2 linked regions of the Oreochromis niloticus genome follow. The protein of the gene in region 1 binds, or shares a complex with, the protein of each later gene. Links are inferred from orthologs where the notes say so. Each region holds a gene or a part of one and is shown in the gene's direction. Other genes may lie near its edges. The genes, in order: ush1c and anks4b.

Region 1 (10,303 bases):
TTAGTGGAAAGGGCAACAACAGACACGACCGAGCTAGCTTTAGCTGCGCCAACGGTTACGGCTAACTTAGCAAATGTGACCGCTGAAGAACCGGGTCATGATATTTTCATCAGTCTAAGTCAATACCATACTCTGCGCTCTCTCCTCATACTGTAATATACGGTTGTATATTGTACCGAGGAGCGGTACAATTTGTCATAGCTGTGAGGACGCATGCGCAAAGAAGCAAACCGTTGAACTTCCAGGTCCAATATTACGTCAACAACGGAAACCGACACGTTTATCATTTTTGTAGAAATGAAAGTCACTTTCTAACTTACTAACTTTGAAACTCAATAAGCTCTGTACCTGAACATAATACTAATATTATTATTTATTTATTAGTTTCAATTTCATGTATATATGACTGTAAATTCCATGGCAAAGATACTAAACTATATTACCTTTTAAAAAAAGACCCCAAAAGATTACATTTTATGATTTGCATGTTTGCATTTCCCCCCTCTAATTTTCCTCATTTCTGACACATTTGATGTATAGTTGTATAAAACAAAACGAATATACGAATAATTCTTTTTTTTTTTTTTACATATTTTTTCTTGATTATTTGCATTTAGTTTTACAGAAACTTTACTTAATTTTATCTGAGTTATGATAACCAGTAGCAAGCTTTGTTTAATTTTTACCTACTTCAGTTAGGTTACTGTCATTCTCCTTTACGCCTTTGTGCAACCCACCTCCACCTTTCATCACTCAAACTCCATTCAAGCCACCTTCATCTCGGCTCCAGGGGGTCCTGCTCTAATCCCTTTCACAGCCAGGGTCCATTCCGCTGAGACAGGCCATCGGTGTCTAACCGTCTATATTCTGTTCATCAATACATCATCTTCACTCTTTCTACTGATCTCTCCTTATTGAAATGGTTATACAGTATGTAACACATTAATAAGCATAAATTCTTATATGTCATATTTTTAAAAATACATGATTTTAAAAGTAAAAATAAATGTATATTCAGTAAACTTTGAATAGTATGTACTTGTTTTGAATAAAGGTTACACATTTGATGTGGAACATGAACGTCTGTTCCATGATCCCATGACATCCAACATTCATCTGTATATGAAAATTAAATAAAAAATTGCCCAATTTAAAAAATAAAAATGACAACCATTTGGTTGTCACAGTAAAAAAAAATTCAAAGCTGCATCTTTTTAAATTAAATATAAAGAACTGATTGCACACTGATTTAAAATAACGGTCAACGATTTTTATTGGTCCAAAGCACAAAATATCAATAACATTTAGTCTAGTTTTCTAAAATAAAAACAGCAGAATAAGCAACCATAACAGATAAACACAGCTACACATTACAGAAAATATCAGAGCATTATCCTCAGCTGTATCTTAGCTCATTTTCAAGTCCATAGATTTTTGCCTTCAGAGCCATCAGCTCGCCCTGAACCTTTTTGGTCCTGGCATTGGTTTGTCGTACTTCATGAAGGATGGCTAAGTCCTGGTTGGGCCCCACATTCAAGGTAACCTGATGAAAAGAGAATCTCCCAGTCAATACTTAGTAAAATGTGATTTTGGACATGAGCAAGGTGGAAAAATTGAAGGAAGACGAGTGAAAGTTTTGCTTAACTTTGTTTTGCATTAAAATTAAAGTAATTCACAGTGCTTATAATATGTAAAAACAAGCACAGGCATGCTGAGATCAAAAAATAACTTTCTAACAAAAATCAATTGGTCACACAGTTTGGATCTTTTTACCTTCAGAAGCTGTTTTTCTACATCTTTGAGTTTCTGTCTGAGGAGTTTAAGGTCCGCCTTGAAGCCCTCCACCTCCATCACCCTCCTCTTCTCCAATGCCTCATAACGCTGAGTCATCAGCTGGAGGCGCTTGGCCATTTTCTCTGAACGCTCCTGCACACAGAAGCAAGGTATCAGTAAAAAGAAACTTGGTGATTGCCATCAATATCAGATACCATTTAATCAGAGATGTGTATAAGGCTTGTACAGACTAAACCATCAATCAAACTGGTGTACCTTGAATATTTCCCTGCCCACATCCCCTTCCTCTCTGATTTGGGACAGTTCTGTTTCAAAAGTAATGCACTGCTCCCTGTACATGTCTGCCAGACGGTTGGCTTGCTTCAGCTCCTCCTGCAATATCTGTTTGAAAAAAGAATAAAGAAAAAACAAGAGACTACAATGAACTTGCCAAAAAACTGTGATTTATTCTGAGGGCATTTATAAAAGGCATTTATACAACCCTATAAAATGGAATCAGGAAAGACTTTCATGAACACAAACAAATAGTTAATGTTACCTTTAGCTCCTCTTTGTGTGGCTGATCTGACTCTGACTGAGGCTGAGGGAGGGCTGTGCTGCTGCTGTGCTGCCACGTTCGCCCCGACTCAGTGCCGACACCCCTGGCCTTCCTAAGACGGCTGTGGCAGGAGTCCAGTTCCCTCAGCAGGCGATCCTTCTCTACCATCCAGCTCTTCTCATTAGCTCGTGTGTCAAACTTTAGCTGTAAAAAATCTCTGGTGCTCTCATGCAACAGGTTCTGAGTTTGCTGGAGTCTGACATGTCAAAGGAGATAAATTTAAGTAAATCTGGAAATTTAATGTCAGCCACAGTGATATCACTTCAAAAAGAAGAGAAATGTCTAGAGCTTTGTTTTACAAACAGCTATAAGTCACAATAATAAATACCTAAAAATACAGACAACATAAACTACATAAACTATAAGACTAACTTGTCAGTCAGAGCAGCGATGCGGTCCTGGTCTCTCTGCCGCTGTGCCTCGGCCTCCTCTGTTTTAATCTTTCGATCCTCCAGCAGAGCGTCCACTTGCTCTTTGGCCAGGCGAGTCTGCTCTTCCATTTGAGCCTGCAACGCCTCCACCTGGAGACATGTGCCACAAAATGTAAACACAAGACGCACAAGAGAAAGAAATGTTTAACTTTCTGTAACAGATCATATAAATGAAATCCCATTTCATGCATACATAAAGTGGGCCCATACCTGTAGCAACAATGTCTGTTTCTCATTGTTGTACTGTTCCAAGCTCTCTCCATTTTCCCTATCTGCAAATTTTGTTCTCCTGCCACTCTCTGCTTAAATATAAAATCAAAATGGCATGGTCATTACAAAAGGCTAGTTTAAATACATAAGTAGTGATGACTTGATTAAAAAACAAACAAACAAACAAACCACAACACAAATAAAATACATTCACATTTTCTTGAATAATCAGACAAAATAAACTAATATTATTTGTAGTAAATATTTTTTCAAACCTTTCCTGGTTGCAGCAGGTCTCAACTTTGTTGGCCTAAGACTGAGATTTTCCTCCAATCTGGACTCTGGGTACCTCTGTGAGATAGTGACCTGAAATATAGCAATAATAGTAGTACAACAGTATTTTTAACTACTCTGGGAGCTTCAATGTTATAACCCTAAATAACTGCCTGACTGCATTACCAAGATAACAGCCAAACAGAGGCTTGCTTTTAGAAGGACTTTGGTAATATCATTAAAAATGCTGTAGTTCTGTTTAGCTGCACCAGTCAATCCAACGTATCTTACTGAGATTATAATTTGAGTTCAAAGCATCGACTGAGAAAATGACCTACGATGATGTAAGCACGCACCTTGTGAGGAGGTTCCCGGTGGAAATATGTAATCTCTCCTGTGTCAGGACCCACAAGACCAAGAAGGTGTTGGATTTTCTTCCTGTCCTCCAGCTCTCTGTAAAACAGTGGCTAGATGGTAATAAAGTTTTATACACAGAAGCAACAACAGATAATGGTGGTAACAAGTTATTAAGATATCAAATGCTACACACCTACTGCTATCAGTCAAGAATAACTTGTATAGCCTTCTACTTTCTTAAAGAAATATGTTAACATAAAATACTGGTTTTAAATGATTAGAAATATGTAGAAAAAAAAATACTTGGTTAGTTGCAGTAAGCCAGATGGTAAAGTAAATCATCACTATTAACAGAATAGTAATCATTCTCTGCAGGCACTGTGACTCACTTTTATCAATATTTAATGCTATACTTAAGGTTGAACTGTACACCTACCTGATCTTTAATCTGTCGTTTTCTGCATAAAGCCGCAGAGACTGCTCTCTCTCTTGGAAAAGGTAGACCTGCATGTCACTCAGAGCACTCTGAAGCTCTGCAATCTCTCCTTCGCGCTGTCGTATTTCCCACTGTAGCTTATGCTTTCAGGGTGTTATGAAGGGAGGCAAGATTAGTTAGGCAAAGATTCTTTGGCACAAATGGCTTAAAATCAAAGCCTCTCACATTGACTCCCATCTCTCACCTGATCTTCAGTGAGGCTTTTATACTTTTCCAGCATCTGCAGCAGCTCCAAGTGCTCGCTATCAAACTGGGCAATCTTCTGTCTGTAGAACTCCAGAAGCTCTCTGGATGGACGCAGTTGCGCCAGACGCTCGTGAATAGGGGGGAGTGGCGAGTCAAGCTCCTGACCCGGGGTACGAATATTAGTCCTGTTGGGTGAAAAACAGAAAAAGAAAACAAAGAACATGAACCATTTCAAAGATGATGATACTGGCATACAATTTACATTTGGGGACTGAAGACTCACACTTTGGTTGTAACTGTATCAGCTACAATACCACAGCACTTTACCCATGACATATAAACTGCGTAAAGGATTACCCAAGAATTTAAACCCATTTAGGTAATAACGCTTAATCCATGTGGGATGAGTCTGTAACAGTAGGGGAACCAGACTGTCACAATAAATCCAAGTATCATTTAGGGAGATTAGAGTAAAAAGCATTACTTTGGCTCACTCTGTGCTATGGCAACATAAGTTCAGCGTTCAGCGTGTCAAATGTATGTTCTTTACCTGTGTGGTGTTGCATGTTTCTTTGGGGACCCCATCCTGTTGCAGACACTGTAAACAAAATGGAAAATACATATAAAGATGTTTAAAAGGTTTATATGAATAATCAGTTGTTTTTAAATCATGAGCACTTAAAATAGTTTTGTGGTCTTAATATCCACATACTTTAAGCGTCCAATTATGTAAAGAACTTTAACGGAGTCAGCAGAATAGATATAATTATACAAATAGTGAAACATTTACAGCATTAGAAAAAAATAAACACTTCTTGTATTAGGAGTTGGTGGACAAGCAAAAATATTACCTTTTGCAGTATTTCCAATTATTATGACACGTTACATAACCGGTGAATACGTCAACTAAAAGAACTTCTAGAGTGGCATTTTGCAATAATTGTGAAAAGGTAACACTATCTGGATTGCAGAGCTAACAGGGTAATTTATATCAGTCGTATATTTCGGTTACCGCAGACTGGGCGGTAGGGGGAGCGGGACTTTTGAAACCAGTCCGCTATTCTTGCAGAGGGATAATTTAACGCTTTAAACCCATATTAAACTGCCACGTCAATGATTCAGTTGGGCATAAAGAACTTTTACTTCACATAAAAAATAATCTATAAAAAAGAGCATGTCGTAGCAAAATAAGTCGCTATTAAGTATGTTTTATGTTTCATGGTGATGAATTCATGAGAAATAAGAAATGTCATATCATACAGCGCACCATTATAGCTGTCGTACGTTTATCCAGGCTTTCTTTTCGCTTAAATACTTCTGAATTTTACTCACCCGTCACAACTTTAAACAGTCTAGCAGCGCCGCGGTGTTGTTCTTTTGAAACCAGGAAGTTACCGCCCCTTTTTCTTCTTCGTAGGAAACTCAGCCGCAACAGACGTTATTTTGCCACCTAGCGACCGTAGCGACAAAAAATAAAAAATTAAATATAATATTTTATTATCATGAATATATTTATAAAAAAAAATATGATGACGTGTATGTTTTTTAAATTTATGTATTTATTCAATCAATCATTTATGTATTTGTTTGATTATCAACAAATTAATCAGACTTAGCAAGAAGTCCAAGCTACACAGTGAACCCTTCAAAATAAAGGTCTTAATTATAAATTTGAGCTTGAAATAAAGTGTACAGCAATTATATTTTGTGGATAATATGTTTTTAAATGTTAAAAGCGACTATATTTACAACAAAGACCGCTTTAATTTTGACGAATAAGCATATTACTATAACATTTTTAACCGGAAGCTCTGATTGCAGTCCTACTACCTTGACGTATTGACCTCCGGCCGCGTCCCGTCAAACTTGACCAACGCTGAGATCTCACGTCGGACCGTTTTGTGGTGTTTCTCAACAATGGAGCGGAAAGTTGCTCGAGAATTTAGGCACAAGGTATGATAAAAATAACAACATTTTTTTTTTAACTATCCTAACATGAATTAACTGGATGTTAAATGAAGCTCTTTTTTTTTTTACCTGGTTGTCTTTTCGCTGGCTGGCTCAGGTGTCTGCCGGTGAGATGTTGCGTAGACAGGCCTGCCCGACAAAGCGACGAATAAAAAAAACAAAAAAACTCAACTTTTATTTGAACAGTAATTCAAACATATCATTAAGAAATAAAGTTGCTGTTTGTTTTTAATGTTGTTGTAGTAGATTAACGGGTTTTTATTTAGCTGAAACATCTGCTTCTAATCTCATCTGTTGCCCAAGTGAAACGAGTGTCGGAGGATTTTGTCTTTTTGGTGACACTTAATTCTCTTTGCGCAATTTTCCATACTTTAAAGCCTTAAGAGGTTGCTGTAGGACAGCTTTCCTCCCTGATTGGTACCTTATTCTTACTCAGGTAAAAGTTACACAGCAGAGGTCACTATAGTCAACAAGCAGTATAAAATGTTATTAGGAGTCAGGATTCATTCATGCAGTGAATCAGCTTGAAATTATACTTTGATGTGTGGGTGGTGTTGACTACTTCCCCCAGAAAGTCATCAGCAGCAAAGATAACAGATGAAGAGAACACGATATGTTCAAGGCTTTTTCATCCCCAGAGCATGTAGGGATCACCTCACAGCCATCTGTGCTGCACGCAGGCAAGCAGAGTCCCATATTGTAGGCTCTCCACAAAGGGCGCTTTAGCATTAGATAATGTGTCAGATACGAGCAGCTAAGCGGAAGAGATGCGACAATTTACGGGTTTAATTAGAGGCTGAGTGGTGAATGATGCACAAATGGGCTTTGTTTCTGTTTGCGACACTGTCTTAATTGTTTGGTTGAGGATGTTTGTCAGTTGTATGGTCTGATTCACCTGAAAATTGGATTATTGTGCAATTTTATTGTGTTTTTATTTGCATAAAAGTCACACATTTTTATTCTGTAGGTACTACATTGTGACAGAGAAGCTCACTGTATGAAAACAGTTCTGATCTTTAAACCAGAAATGCTTATCTGCCTAACAAGTTATCTATACTTTACTGGTTTATGGTGCCAAGGTCCATGTGGCTCACTCTGCAGGAAAAAGAGAAGTTTATGACCATCATAAACACCGTTCACACACCCTGTGTGGCTCAGTGGTTCTGCCTTAACTTTAACCCCTGCAGAAATGGTCCTCGGAGGGTGTGTGCTCTATGATGCCTGTTCTTTAATTTGAGGTCTGATTATTCAACATGAGGCGTGCATGTGTGAATGTTTACCTCTTTTTGAGATGTAAGGTGACACTCCTGACCTTCCTACTGCAGCCTCTCCTCATCCCTGTGGCCATTATTTCCTCCCAGGGGTTTGGTGGTTAGACATGGGCAGCCCATTTCACGTTTAGCACATGGACCCTCATCATCCAGGGATTTATCTGAACTTTAATGTCTTAGAAAGTGAGGCTTTCAGCTTATTATAGGAGAGATTTTGCTGGAAACAGATAGTGAAATGTGTTATATCAGCGACTGGCCCAAACGGTTCCTTAAAACTATCCTGCTGCAACTGAACCGTCATCAGGTTTGTATGACTTGGGGACACACACACACACACACACACACACACACACACACACACACACACAGGGGGCTCACCCCCTGTAGCTGACAGGAAAACAGGGGAGAGATACGGTGTGTTTCAGGGGGCTTAATGATGAAGGATGGTACCAGATGCTTGTGTTTTCTTGCAGGTGGAGTTGCTGATTGAAAATGAAGCAGAAAAGGATTACCTGTATGACGTCCTCCGCATGTATCACCAGTGAGTACCATCTGTCACTGCTCAGCATGTCTACAGAGTGTGTGTTGTATTTCCTCACTGATTTTTCACACATTATGACTAAAACATTGATGATTATGGAATAGATTATGTCCTTAAATAACTTTGCACAACTATAGCCAAAAAGGGTTACAACAAAGAAACTGTAGACACGTATGGGTCTTTGTAGTATTTGTATAGATTTAATTACAAAAAACATCTTCTTGTGCTTCTGTATGTTTTCTCTAGCTTTAAACATTTTCATGAATAATATTTAGGAGCCATTAATCTTGTCCCTGACAGTTTTAATGCACGCAGACCTCTGGTTCAGATCCTCCCTGGGTCGTGTTTTTTGATGAAAATGTGGTCCTGGATGGCATGAGAGGGGGAAGGGATAGGTCTAGGTTTCAATTAATCTTTGTACAGAGGCACAGTCCTGTGACCCTATTGGTTAAGCCTCTGATCAGTTTCCACTGAGCTCCGACAAGCCTGGCCAGTTATCAACAAAAGCTCTTTTTATGTTCAACCTCCAAATGGAGCTAAAATGGCACATATTAATTATTCAAAAGGAAGGTGACCTGGAAGAATTTCATACCATAGCATTTACTTTGCTGCTTTAATTGCTGTTCCAATTGCCCTTTATCCTAAAATAAAAAAAATACTCAAAGGTACATTTGGATGTTTTCTGAAGTTTTTTTATTATGAGGAAAAATGCCTGTGGCTCTAGAGAGATTGCTGTGCTAACCCTGATAAATTGCATCAGTTGGTGCAGAAGGTAAAGTGCAAACATTTTAAAAATCGGGTGTGTAGACTCTGATAGAGGTGAGATTTTCATCTCCTTGTCAATGTCAAGGGAAAAATCCCACACGGATCAGGAAAAGAGTCTGGTTCCTAAACTGACCCACCTGCACTCCAGACATATCATGCTTTTAAAACCATTTGGCATATTATGAAACAAAAATGACTAAGCACTAGCTCTTTGAAAAAAAACAATTAAATATGAGTTTAAATAATTATCTATATTTTGCACAGCATCCCAGCCTTTTTGGAAATCACTTTTTTGCAGACTTTCTCATATTGTTTGATTTTCAAGGGGAGCTGTCACCGTTTTGTAATTGCCTAAATTAGCAGATCTGGTAAATTGTTGTGAAACCACTAATTATCCTTCTCTCACTTTCCAGGTCGATGGATTTGCGAGTGTTGGTGGGAGACCTAAAGCTGGTAATTAACGAACCAAAGCGTCTCCCCTTGTTTGACGCCATCCGACCTCTCATCCCTCTCAAGCACCAGGTGGAGTATGACTTGCTCACCCCCAAGAGGTCAAGGTGAGTACAACATGGTTATTTATTGCCTTTCTAGCATGCAGTTACTGACCCTGGCATGCATTTACCTTATATTAGCTTTCATTGGCTTGTACATCTTGCTTTATATTTTCTCACCTGATGTGTGCAGGAAGCTAAAAGAGGTGCGTTTGGATCGGACCAATCGCGATGGTCTAGGTCTGAGCGTCCGAGGAGGGCTTGAGTTTGGCTGTGGTCTTTATATATCCCAGATTATAAAAGATGGACAAGCTGATAATGTGGGCCTACAGGTACTATAATTATAATTTATGCTTGTTTCTACAGATTTTTTTATGCTTTAAAAAAATATATAGACCGGGGTTACAGCACTATTTACGAATCTATCCACATGTGGAATAATTATATCTCTTTATAATGGGGGTGGATTTAATATTCCTAGTTCTAGTCGAATACAAACAGAAAATGTCAGTAAAAGAATAAACTTAAATTCGATTAGTGCTTATTTTTTCCATTTAATCTTATGGTAGCACCAGTGGTAGCACTGGTGTTTGCCAGTATTTTTTTGTTTTGTCATATATATGTACCATTGTACTTACTTAATCTATTTTTTTTACATGTTTTTGTGCCTTAGCTTTTTTATAACTGTTATAACAAAATAACTACTTACTACTGAGACCTTTGATAATGGTGATCATTTTGGGCCTAATCAAATACAAGAATCTATAATCTGAGATTTAAAATTTTAACTGAATACTTTTCTTTTCTTGTTGCAAGTGTGTAGTGTTTTAAACTGGCCTTATGCTGGGCATACTCTGTGGGATTTTTTTCAGTCGCATTATTTGGCTCCTGCCCAAACTGTACGACTGAATTGCAGGTTAGA
Region 2 (11,109 bases), on another chromosome or scaffold:
GTAATGATCTAAGCAAAACACAATTAAAGAAATCAGTATTGTTTCTCAATCTTTATTATTCCCTGGTTATAACAATAATTTAAAACCCACAAACACTGTAATGTTTATTTAAACAAAATTAGAAAATCTGCGTTTTGGTTTGGTTTTTTTCTTGTAAATGAGTCAAGATGATATCAGATAAGAACTGGATGTAAACAAAGTTCATTTTGTATAATATAAAAAGCAAAATTGTAAAGCTTTAATAAAAAAAAACAAAATAAAAAAAAAAACAGTTGGAGCTGTTTTTCCTAACTGCTACCAAAAGTAAGTGACAACTGGCAGAGGAGCTGAAATCTGGTAAATGTGTCACTTGGCTAGAGTACTGATAGTACAATAAAAGGTCTAAGTGCTGCGGTGTTAAAGGGAAGCGCCTCTCTTGGTTATAACCAAGACGTATAGAGAGAAAAACTAGTTTAACAACAACAGCAGCAGGAGGAGTGGATCAACTGTCAACTGGCATCAAGTTGAAAGGCAGCATTAACTGTCATTTACCACATTAGAGAGAGAGAAAATACTGTGAATCACTGCGATCCTTTACAAGTTTACACTACTTGCAGGGAACTGATAGAAATAATGGAAGACATCTGTGTGAAAGGAAAAGTGTGCACATCGAACACTGTGATATTGAAAACCGTAGAAAAAACTCTGTGCATCAAGTGTTTGTGTAGATCAACAGTCACTGAATAATTACAAAGTAAAAAAAAAATTAAACATCGACAACATAAAAAAAAGTGCAAACTGCAGCTCTTTAGAGTGAGACTGGCTTCAAAAGAGTCAAAACCCTGTAACCTTTGATGTTAAAATGCCCAGCTTTACAACAAAAATAAACGTGTTTACAACCTGATACAATTTCTTTTTGTCTTTATAACCTGTTAGCCTCAGTCTTTATAGCTTCACATGGTTGCTTTCTTATATAAACTTTACAAAAGCTCAAAAGTAAGAGGTGTGGCCACGCTGAGTTACAGGTACGTGCCGACACAGATGTCTGCTCGGCTTAACCAGCTTTTGTGGCCTTGGTGTCTTTTGTTGTGTAATAATCTCACCAGTAGTAAACTATCAAAGCTCAAAAAACCACCAAAACTTGATAACAACAACATTTTAGCAGCCAAAACCTTAAAATGCTGAGCCCAAAGCTAATCAGTGGTTGATAGTGGCTCCATCCACGTTTTATATTCAGTCTATGGGGGAAACAAACCTAATTCCTGCAGTGAGGAAATATTATACTCTGAGTGGTTTCATGAACACACCGTAAGAATCAGAAGCTACAGCTTTTGCAGTCAGAAGATCACAAAACAAGCCAATTTGAGAGAATTTGTGTGTAGGTGTTAGTCGTTGTACTCCACCACCAGCAACATAATGATGGTATGTTCTTTGGAAGAATACTGTTTATCCCTTTAAAGGTCCAAAGACTTGATGAAAATACATGCACAACTAAGATTTTTAGCTTGTTTTTTTCCTTTAATTTGTCACCCGTCTGTATATCAGTTCATACAGTTTTGTTTTTTTTTCATAATGCATTACGTTCAGAGGCACTTGGTACCTACAACTACTGCAGCATGTGCAGACACATATTCACTGTGCTTTTCCCTCAATTTATATTAAATTAATTTAATGAGGTTTCCATCTTGCAGGATTTCACAACTGGATAAATTCACAGTTAAAAACTTAAGTGTATGTAAAGAATGGTCCAGTGGTTTAGATTAAGCCAGCAGTAAACTTATCATCACGTGCAATAAAGCTCAAACATTAAGTAAAAGTCTTAAATTGAAATACACTTTTTCAAATTCATATGAAAATGTAAAGACAAATATCATTCATCTCCTATAGTGAAATATGAAACTACAGCAGCCTCATGACAAAAACTGGGACCAGGGGAAAGCAGCTAGTCTGGCACATTGATTTGAACCAGTAATTTCTTAAAAAGCATGTATATTTCCACGAGAGCTGTATCAGTCTTTCAGTGCAACCAGGATCATCTCTCAGGAAGAGGGCAAACAGGTGTATTTGTGTGTGCTTTTGCCTAAACTGTTTAAAAATAAATCAGCACCTGACAGAGAGCTTATTTTTTAACAGTAGAAAGTTCAGCTCTTTAAAAGGTGTTCTTTTTCCTTTTGTCTTTTCAAACAGTTACTCAATATAGGACCTGTTTAACTCACCTCACACTAGAAGATATTATACAGCAAACCAAACTAATAAATGATGTCTGTATGTTTTTCTTTGTCACATAAACTCAGTTAACTTTAGTCCCTGCAGGACCATGCTGAACCAAGAGAAATGCACCAGTGGAGAGGATGTGTATGCACAGATGTTCGCAGTTAAAGGTTAACAACAGCAATAATTAAACCCCCTCTGGTTATGTTATATAATTTGGGAATGGAATAGGAATGTGGGGCTCCCAAGGCACCAATGCGGGCTCATATTATTGTGCCTATGCGACGGAAACAATTCATAATGTTAGTAATAGCATCAGCAGGCTTTTAAACCTACTGAGGATGAGTGCACTGATGGTTTGCTGTGTTCAGGTAGCCGTCTTCAGTGCTTCAGTTTCTTGTTCATGCCCATGATTCTGAAGGTCACTGCAGCGATCTTCTCATACACAACAAACATGAGGGCAGCCGTCAGTACCGTCTGTAGCAGCTTGGCTTCCAGGCCTTTGTACAAACCGAGAGCGCCGTGCTTCCTGCGATAAACACGGGTATACAACTGTGACCACTGCTACATATTCACACATGTGCTTGTTGTGAGTCGAGTGAGTAGATAGTGCAATTTTAGAGATGCTGCACTCACTTGATCCGGTCCATGAGCAGGAACAAAATGTTAGAAAGGCTCCCCATCACACCACCACCCTTGGCGTCACTTTTATACTGGCCAAACTGATTAAAAAAAAAAAAAAAGCATAAAACAAGTGATCCATGTGTAGTAAAAATTCAATATCATTTACCAGTATGCATATTGGCTATGAGTGTTTGACGGTATTAACCATATAAAGATGCTCTGGTTTCTTTAAATTTTTCTATAAATACACACTCACCGGCCACTTTGTTAAACCGGTTCATCTGCTGATCAATAGAAATATCTAATCATCCAATCACATTGCAGCAACCCAGCTAATTTAGGGATATAGTGAAGTTGCTGCTGAGCATCAGAATGGGAAAGAAATGTGATTTAAGTGACTTTGAATGTAGCATGGTTTTTAGTACCAGGCGTTCTTATCTACTGGGACCGGATCTGAAATTTTTTCCCTAATAAAGTTTCTGGGGAGTGTACACAAAATTAAGTCAGATTTACAGAATGTTGTGTCACCGACTCAGCCAAGAGTTCCACTTTAGTTTTTAGTTTTTGAGGAAACATAATTTTGGCCTGTGTAAGAGTGTGATAGATGGCTTTTGGCACACATAAAATTACAGATACAATTTGTAGTTGTTTTTGTCTGTTCACTGAATTTTCTGTCATTGCAAAAATGTTGAACTTCATCAGCCTAATCTTTGAAAAACAGAATACAGGAATGACATTTTCCGTATTAGAGTACTTACCCTCAGTATGGCCTGAACTGTCTGCAGAGGATACGTGGCAGTGGTAGCGATGGCCTTGGCAATGGCTCCAATGAGAAAAATCTTTGCCGAGGATATCTGTGGTAAAAGATGAACTTTCACAGGTCAGGTGACTGATCGCTAAACAGGGTCCTGGCTGATCACAGCCCTTCAGCTATGTAATGACAGGATGCTGACTGATTAGCTTCAATAATGCAATATTGTATACATCACTTGCTCTCTTCTTACCTTCCTCCCTCCTCTGCCTGCCTTCCTCTTCATGGCCTCATAAATCATGAACTGCACAGCAGGGTTGAGGACGAGGACGAGAGAGGGCAAAGTGCCGTTCCACAGAGTTCCCACCCCCTCGTTGGCTATGATCTGTGAGAAAGCATCTGAAAGAAGCAGTGAGGTTTGAAAATCATACAGACACGAGACAAGCACGTCAGAAGTTTTGACCTATTTAACGGATATGAAGGACGCACCAAATATGCCTTTGTAGTGAGTCTGGTGGAGGTCTTCGTTTCTGAACTTTACCCCCTGCATCTTCAGTCGAGTGTTGACCACCCACATGGGAGTGGTCAGGATCACATTCACCACTCCTACATGAACAAGAGATATTCAAGTTTCTTGAATCCACAAACCAGAGGATAATATCACCATCTTTTTCATACAATCTGTGGGATACATACATGCAAACGTTTCACACACAAATCCAGGATTCATCCATTCAATCCAGGCATCTGTCACACAGTCACTCCCTCCACTTTTGAAAAGTTTGCCTACAGGCTTCTCTATTAATTGGACACCTTGGATCCATTTAAGTCTTTCAGATAATTTCCATCAGGTCAGTACTTACCTGACACAATTCCAATGAGCAAGTCTTTCCCAGGTCTGGACTGGCCTGGACCAGATGCCATCATCTTCTTCAGCGAGTTAAACGTGTAGAAGTAGACAAAATTGGAGCAGCAAAGGCTGGAGATAACTGGGAACCAGCCTCTGTATAGTGACAGACTGGGAGAGGTGGTGAAGAGGCATTTGAGTAGTGAGTTTTTAGTCATGTGGCCAAAACATCATCCTAAACCCTGGATTAGATTACAGCTGCAGCTTCCAATTATTTTCATTATCTGTTTATATCTGTAATTACCTTGTTCTTTTGGTTCATAACATTTGGTTAAATTATAAATGTGGTCAAATAAGAGCAAAACAAGGCTTAATTTGTGTAATTTCTAACCAGAAGCCTCAGTGATTTTAAATTCCCAAACTATACGTACAAGCCTTCTTCCTTTGCTATCTCAGCCAGAATGACTGGAGTTGAGTTCGACTTTCTCTTCTCATCCACTGAAAAACAAACACAAATATGCCAGAAATCACATAATGAGTCTCTGGACAATGATTTGACACACAAAGATCAGTTTAACTGCGTTATCTCAGCTTGTGGAATGTAAAAGAGTGGAAGCAGAAAGGCATGACACACCTTTTTATGCCTTATATAGAGCTTTGCAATAAAAAAAAGACACGTGAAACAACATAAACAGAAATGGATTGTTTATGAGGTAAAATAAAAACTACATTTATCAGTGCACTACTCTTTGGGATGCAGTTACAGTTGCTCTATAATGACCCCAGCGTTAAACTCTTTCAACTCTGCAGTTTATCAGGTAACCTCTGTCCAAGATGATAAAGCCCCCCAGCTCACCCTGGAGTCTGCTTTTGGCCGTGTCCAGAGGAAAGAAGACGGTCATAGCTGTCACACTCCCCTAAAAAGACAATGCATTGCAACATTAACATCCATACTGACACCTGAAAACACAACAACATCTAACACCATTGTTCAGCTTAAAGTGGTTTCTTCAACACCATGCTATCCTGCTATTAGAAGGATAATACCCCAACCCCCATAAAAAATAAATAAATAAGAAACAAAGCTACTCACCATTGCACCTGCCACAGCATGAACCAGCGTCTCATAGGATAGGAGGCCGACAGCCGAGCCACCGTTGTCGGACATCTCTGCAGGCTCTCCCCGGTCCAACCACACAAGCTAAACACCGGGAAGTAACTGCCGTGAACCCAATGGAAGGTGTCCGGGTTTTCCGAACAGTGGAAACGTTTTAAACAATAATTATTCACAACTTCATGTTACAAGAAGCTGAAAAGCGACAAGAAACAGAAACCAAAGAAGAGAGAGGAAAACTGTCAGATTGGGTTCACTCTCTTCTGGTCGGGGGGATAGTTCCTCCCAACATGCCGCTGATTGGACAGTTTCTTCTTCTTCTTTTGTTGACTCTTCTGTCGGTTCTGTTTCTTCTTCTTCTGTTTTTGGTAAACCATTAACTTTAGCAGAGTTTATGAGCCACCTACTGGACTGGAAGGAGATGTGGTGCAAAAACTATATGGGATTTTACAGCCCTTATTTGCGGCAGGTCACCACACCATGTGTGATTTTCCAGATTTTTCCTGACACAACCTCAAAGGGACAGACTTAGATATCGTAATCATCTAGATATGACAACACATATCTAGATGTCTAAAAGACTTACAGTAATGCTTTTTTTTAGTACACTTATGTAAAATACATATACTCAAATGCTGGACTTTATCTGGGCTTGTACACATACACTACTGTTACTTCACATCACTAGTTTCTCCAATTCATTTCATGGAGAAATGTCTCTTTTTAACGCTAAGCTCTAAGGATGAGCTCCCATGATGAATATAATATCTTGTAAAAAGAAAACTATCCTGCAATATTATTTTGAACCTAAACAAATAGCAAAATTAGAACATGTGACTAATCAGCCGTTTTTAAAAAAGTAAAGAAAACAATTGAATTGCATGTATAAAAAAAATGAAAGTGTACCTTGATTAAATATTCATCTTGCTAAAACAGTTTACAAACAAAACAATAAATGAATTTATCAAGAAAATAGATTAACATATGATTTAAATAATCACAAGCTGTTTGCAATAATTAATATTAAAAAATACTTTATTTTTCCTGATTCTTATTACCTTTGATACTTTAAGTATAGTGTGGTTATGTACTTTTGCTGTAATTAATGACCTATATTAACAATATAGATATTAAAAATATCTAATTAGATTAGATGGATAAATAGAGTGAGCAATAATTTGTTAATAATAGCTTTACTTATGTATTATACTTAAGACAGTTTTTAGGTATAAATGCTTTAAGTTAAAAAGTTAAATGTTCCAAGTTTTAAGTTGATTCAGGGTAACAGAGGGAGTTGATGTTTCTTTTTACACTTTTAAATACTTTTCTACAAATTACAGAATAAAAATGTATCATAAAAAACATCATCTTACAAATGTTGATGAAACATTTAGAGTTTTAACGAGCTAAAACCTAAAAAAAACTAGAAACAACAGATAATGTTCCATTGTCATTTTACTGGGCATTCTGGTCTACAACAATATATTATTCTTTCATAAAGATTGCTTTTGTCTTCAAACTTGTGAAGAAATAGTGATTACAGCAGAAACTCCTGCTGTGTGTGAACATGTTTTCCGGGTGAAATCGCAGAAAGTGATTTTTTATAGTGTTGAGGAAATGGGGCGGCTCACAGCAGTGAAGCGAACTTTGCTTTTGTTTTATGGCCCCGAGCTGCTGGTGCGTTGACGCCCAGTCATCACTTTGTTTGCTTGGTTCTGCAGTCGCTTCTGCTCATCTGACGTTAGCCAGGGGGGGCGCAGAGAAACCTAGATTTTTATTTTTCTCCAAGCTTTTCCCTTCTTACCAGAGATGTCTAGGTACCACAAAGCAGCGACTGATGGATACGTGGAACTCTTGAAGGAGGCCACGGTGAAGGACCTGAACACCCCGGATGAGGATGGCATGACTCCCACCATACTGGCTGCTTTTCATGGACATATCAGTGCTCTTCAGCTCATATGCAGCAGAAAGTAAGCTTTCTATTGCCTGTCCTTCATCTCACATCCTACACTGAGACAAAAACACAGAACGACCTGAACATATGAGTTCTCTTCAAGTGTTTTCTTCAGCCTGTGTAATTTTTCTGTAATTTATAAAGAAAACATGCAGTTAGACATAAATCTTTACATTTAAATAGATTATATTTTATAAAACCAAATAAGATTAAGATCTACAGTGGAACCAGGAACAGTGCTCACAGAGCAAAGGTTGACCAGCATGAAATAAAGTGTGTTTTATGCTTTCTCATACGTACTTTGTTTGTTTTTGGCACTTCATCTGAATTTTTTCGACAGCTATTGTTCACTCCATTTTAATGAGCTAAGACTTTATTTCCCATTAGCTGAGCCAAAAGTTTAACCAGCCCAATCCATCCCACAAAAACAAAAGAGCTGTTCATCCAGGCCGCGCCACCACCACCACCACCACCGCCGCCGCTACTCCCCTTGTACCTCCGTTCCTCTTTCACTACAACCAGGACCATACAAAATCTGTCCCAGTGCTCTTACAGACATTTGAGTTTCAGAGAATACATTAGATTTATTTAATTCTATTTATATTTTAATGGGCACAAAGCGTGTCTTGTCTACGTGGCCAGGATTATCTAAACCATTTCCTCTTTGGTCATTACGCAGCATGAACTGGGATTTATGACAAGGTGTAGCAGTCACACGGCAATCAAAACTTGACAGGGGGGCAGCAGTAAAAGGACTTTAAGTCTTAATAGCTCACCAATTAACTTCACCCATCTTTAATTCGTCATATGGATGTAGATCTATTCTCTGTTTTAATTTTATTTCCTGGACTGACATTTTTTAAATGTCATTTTCATCAGTTTATTATTTTCCCTAAATTCATGACAACTACTATGCATGGAGTTTGGTATAAATCAGGAATACAGAATAGCTAAATAATGAAAATATCATCACTAATGATAAAAAATCTTGTGTGTGTGTTCGTGTTGTACAGAGGAGATCCCAACAGGAGTGACATCTGGGGAAACACACCCCTGCACCATGCAGCAGCTAACGGCCACATGCACATCCTCAGCTTCCTGGTCAACTTCGGCGCCAACCTTTTTGCTCTGGACAATGAATTCCACACGCCAATGGATGTCGCCGCTTCACGCGACCACATGGAGTGTGTGCGCTTCCTCGACGCTGCTGCTGCAAAGCAGACCAACCAAAATCCAAAAAAGGTCGCCAATCTGAAGAAAGAGGCCGAAAAAGAGGCAGAGAAACGCGTGAAACTCTGCGAGAAGGTGAAGAAAAAACACAAGACCAAGATGGATAGAATGCAGCGTGGAAGCAACTCCGGCTCCTTTTCAGATGCAGGAACGGCGTCGCCAATGTCAAACAATGGCACCATCTCGGGCGTCAATGAACAGTTCTCCAAGCTCATCACTGATGATAAAGTTGGCTCTATTAAAGGCACACTCCTGAAGAAGTTTGGGAAGAAGGACAAAGGCACGCTGCAGAGGTCAGAAGGAAGCGGGAACGTTATCTTCCTCAAACCAGAGAGCGGATCTGAGAACCCAGAGTTTGTGGACGTCTTCAACGAGCAGGACGAGAACATGTTAGAAGAAATGGACAGCTTCGGAGATGATGACGACGATGGAGGCCAAGTGAAACAATCCATCTTCAATCGGCCCGGCCTTGGAGGCCTGATGTTCAGGAAGAAGATGGGGCTAGACTCTGACGACATCCCCAGCAGTGCCAATGAAAGCCTTGGTTACCTCGTTCAGAGCGAGCCGTTTGAGGCAGACGAAGACACCTCTGGCTTGATGGCGGGTGACAACACACTGCCGTGGGAACAGGAAGATCTGGGACTGGATGATGATGAAGATGAGGACACCTCTCCTTTGGATGTGTTCCTGTCCTCTATCTCCTTGCCAGATTTTACGCCCGCATTCAACAGAGAGCACCTTGACTTGGAGGCGCTCATGCTTTGCTCTGATGAAGACCTCAAAGGGATCCGCATCCAGCTCGGACCCAGGAAGAAGATCTTGGAAGCTGTTGCTCGGCGAAGAAATGCCCTGGAAAATGCAGGCATCATGAAGGACAGCTCCTTGTGATCTTATACAAAAACAGTTATTTATCCTCCAAATTTAAAATAAGCCTTTTGTCAGTTCGATTTCTGTATAAAACAAACATGATTCAGCAAACTAGTGAAAAATTCCAACATTTCTACAGATTGAACTTTATTGATCGTATTATGACAATATGTTCCGTGTATACCTGTTATATTAAGTTAAAAGTGCCATGACAGCATCAGCCAACAATATCAACAATATCTTATACATCTGGTTTTAAAACAAGAGAAAAAAAGGATAATTATGTGAAAAAAAATAAAGAATAATGAATAATAAAGTGTTGGTATTGACCTGCTGGCTGACTTTCTCCACATATGAGGTGATATGGCACACGGATGATTTGCTTGTGCAGCTGTATGTTTTATTGTAATCATGTCGACCTCAGACAACACACCTGCTAAATAAACAAAACGCGCATGCACGATAGTCTCTCCAGTTTAATATTTCCCAATGGATTTAAAAATTGCCCTGACAGGAACAACAGCAGCTATGAGCACAACAAAAAAGAGAGGAAAGCAAGCACAGGAGCCACAAAATGACTCACAGCAAACACAAGCAGGCAGGCTAAAACTGGTGAACTAGTAAACACAATGAAGTGACCTGAATAGAATAGAATAGAATAGAATAGAATAGAATAGAATAGAATAGTCCTTTAATTGTCCCACAAGGGGAAATTTGGTTGTAAGAGCAGCAAAAAACCACATATACAAACAGAACAGGACACAGGACATAGAACAGAAACACACACAGTTTTTTACATATTTACATCATGGACAATAGTTACCAAAACAGAGTACTGTACAGCTATTAAAGTTAAAGTACAGATAAGTGGCAAACCAGTTGTAGTGTGCAAATGGAGCAGGATACTGAAAGATGTTTAAATAGTTAAGAATATTTAAAATAATTAGAAAAGTTAAGATTGTGTATTGTATCTGTGCATTAAAAAGTAGACATGTAACTTCCAATAAGTTAGTATATAGAAACTGAGAAAAAGTAATGTGCAAGTTATAAAAGTAGTAGTTGTTCAGCTGATTAGTGCAAGTTACAGCGCTGGTGTGAACATCTATGTTTTTGTTGAGAGCAGTTTTGATTGTACAGTCTGACAGCTGCAGGGAGGAAGCACCTATGGAAATGCTCCTTCATGCATCTAGGATGCAGCAGTCTGTCACTGCTGACCAGTGAGTGTATATGTGTATATACAAAGAGCACTGATTAAAGCACTGAAATATTTAGGAGGAGGTGAAAAAAGGGACACACACACACACACACACACACACACACACACACACACACACACACACAGGGAATCACTGCTCAAAACTAAAATAATAAAATGAAGAGAGTAAACCGAAACCCCAAATCACAAAACTCATCACTAGATTAACAAGACAAATGAAGGTCAAAACTGGAAACATAAACTTGGACATATCACAGCTCATCATCAGCGGAAATAACAACGAGAATAAGAAATTCAAAAGCATCCCCAACCTGTG

What was found.
Region 2: ush1c (region 1) and anks4b share a complex: the UniProt entries of both Homo sapiens proteins name them as parts of the IMAC/intermicrovillar adhesion complex. The link is inferred for Oreochromis niloticus from reciprocal best matches to the Homo sapiens genes USH1C and ANKS4B.

What each region holds. Positions count from the first base shown.
Region 1 is NC_031972.2:60,243,236-60,253,538, reverse strand, and holds the start of ush1c (harmonin), read left to right. Parts: upstream 1-6,188; 5' UTR 6,189-6,262; coding exon 6,263-6,298; exon of another isoform or gene 6,299-6,309; intron 6,310-8,057; coding exon 8,058-8,125; intron 8,126-9,303; coding exon 9,304-9,447; intron 9,448-9,574; coding exon 9,575-9,713; intron 9,714-10,303. Other genes in the region: ccdc77 (coiled-coil domain-containing protein 77), read right to left, coding at 1,397-1,543, 1,774-1,926, 2,050-2,175, 2,333-2,588, 2,765-2,913, 3,034-3,125, 3,309-3,399, 3,663-3,759 and 3 more. UniProt on the Homo sapiens protein: Anchoring/scaffolding protein that is a part of the functional network formed by USH1C, USH1G, CDH23 and MYO7A that mediates mechanotransduction in cochlear hair cells. Required for normal development and maintenance of cochlear hair cell bundles.
Region 2 is NC_031969.2:19,098,925-19,110,033, forward strand, and holds anks4b (ankyrin repeat and SAM domain-containing protein 4B), read left to right. Parts: upstream 1-6,997; 5' UTR 6,998-7,335; coding exon 7,336-7,496; intron 7,497-8,493; coding exon 8,494-9,598; 3' UTR 9,599-10,038; downstream 10,039-11,109. Other genes in the region: slc25a17l (peroxisomal membrane protein PMP34), read right to left, coding at 2,572-2,719, 2,827-2,912, 3,573-3,668, 3,819-3,964, 4,055-4,171, 4,429-4,583, 4,844-4,910, 5,269-5,329 and 1 more. UniProt on the Homo sapiens protein: As part of the intermicrovillar adhesion complex/IMAC plays a role in epithelial brush border differentiation, controlling microvilli organization and length. Plays a role in assembly of the complex.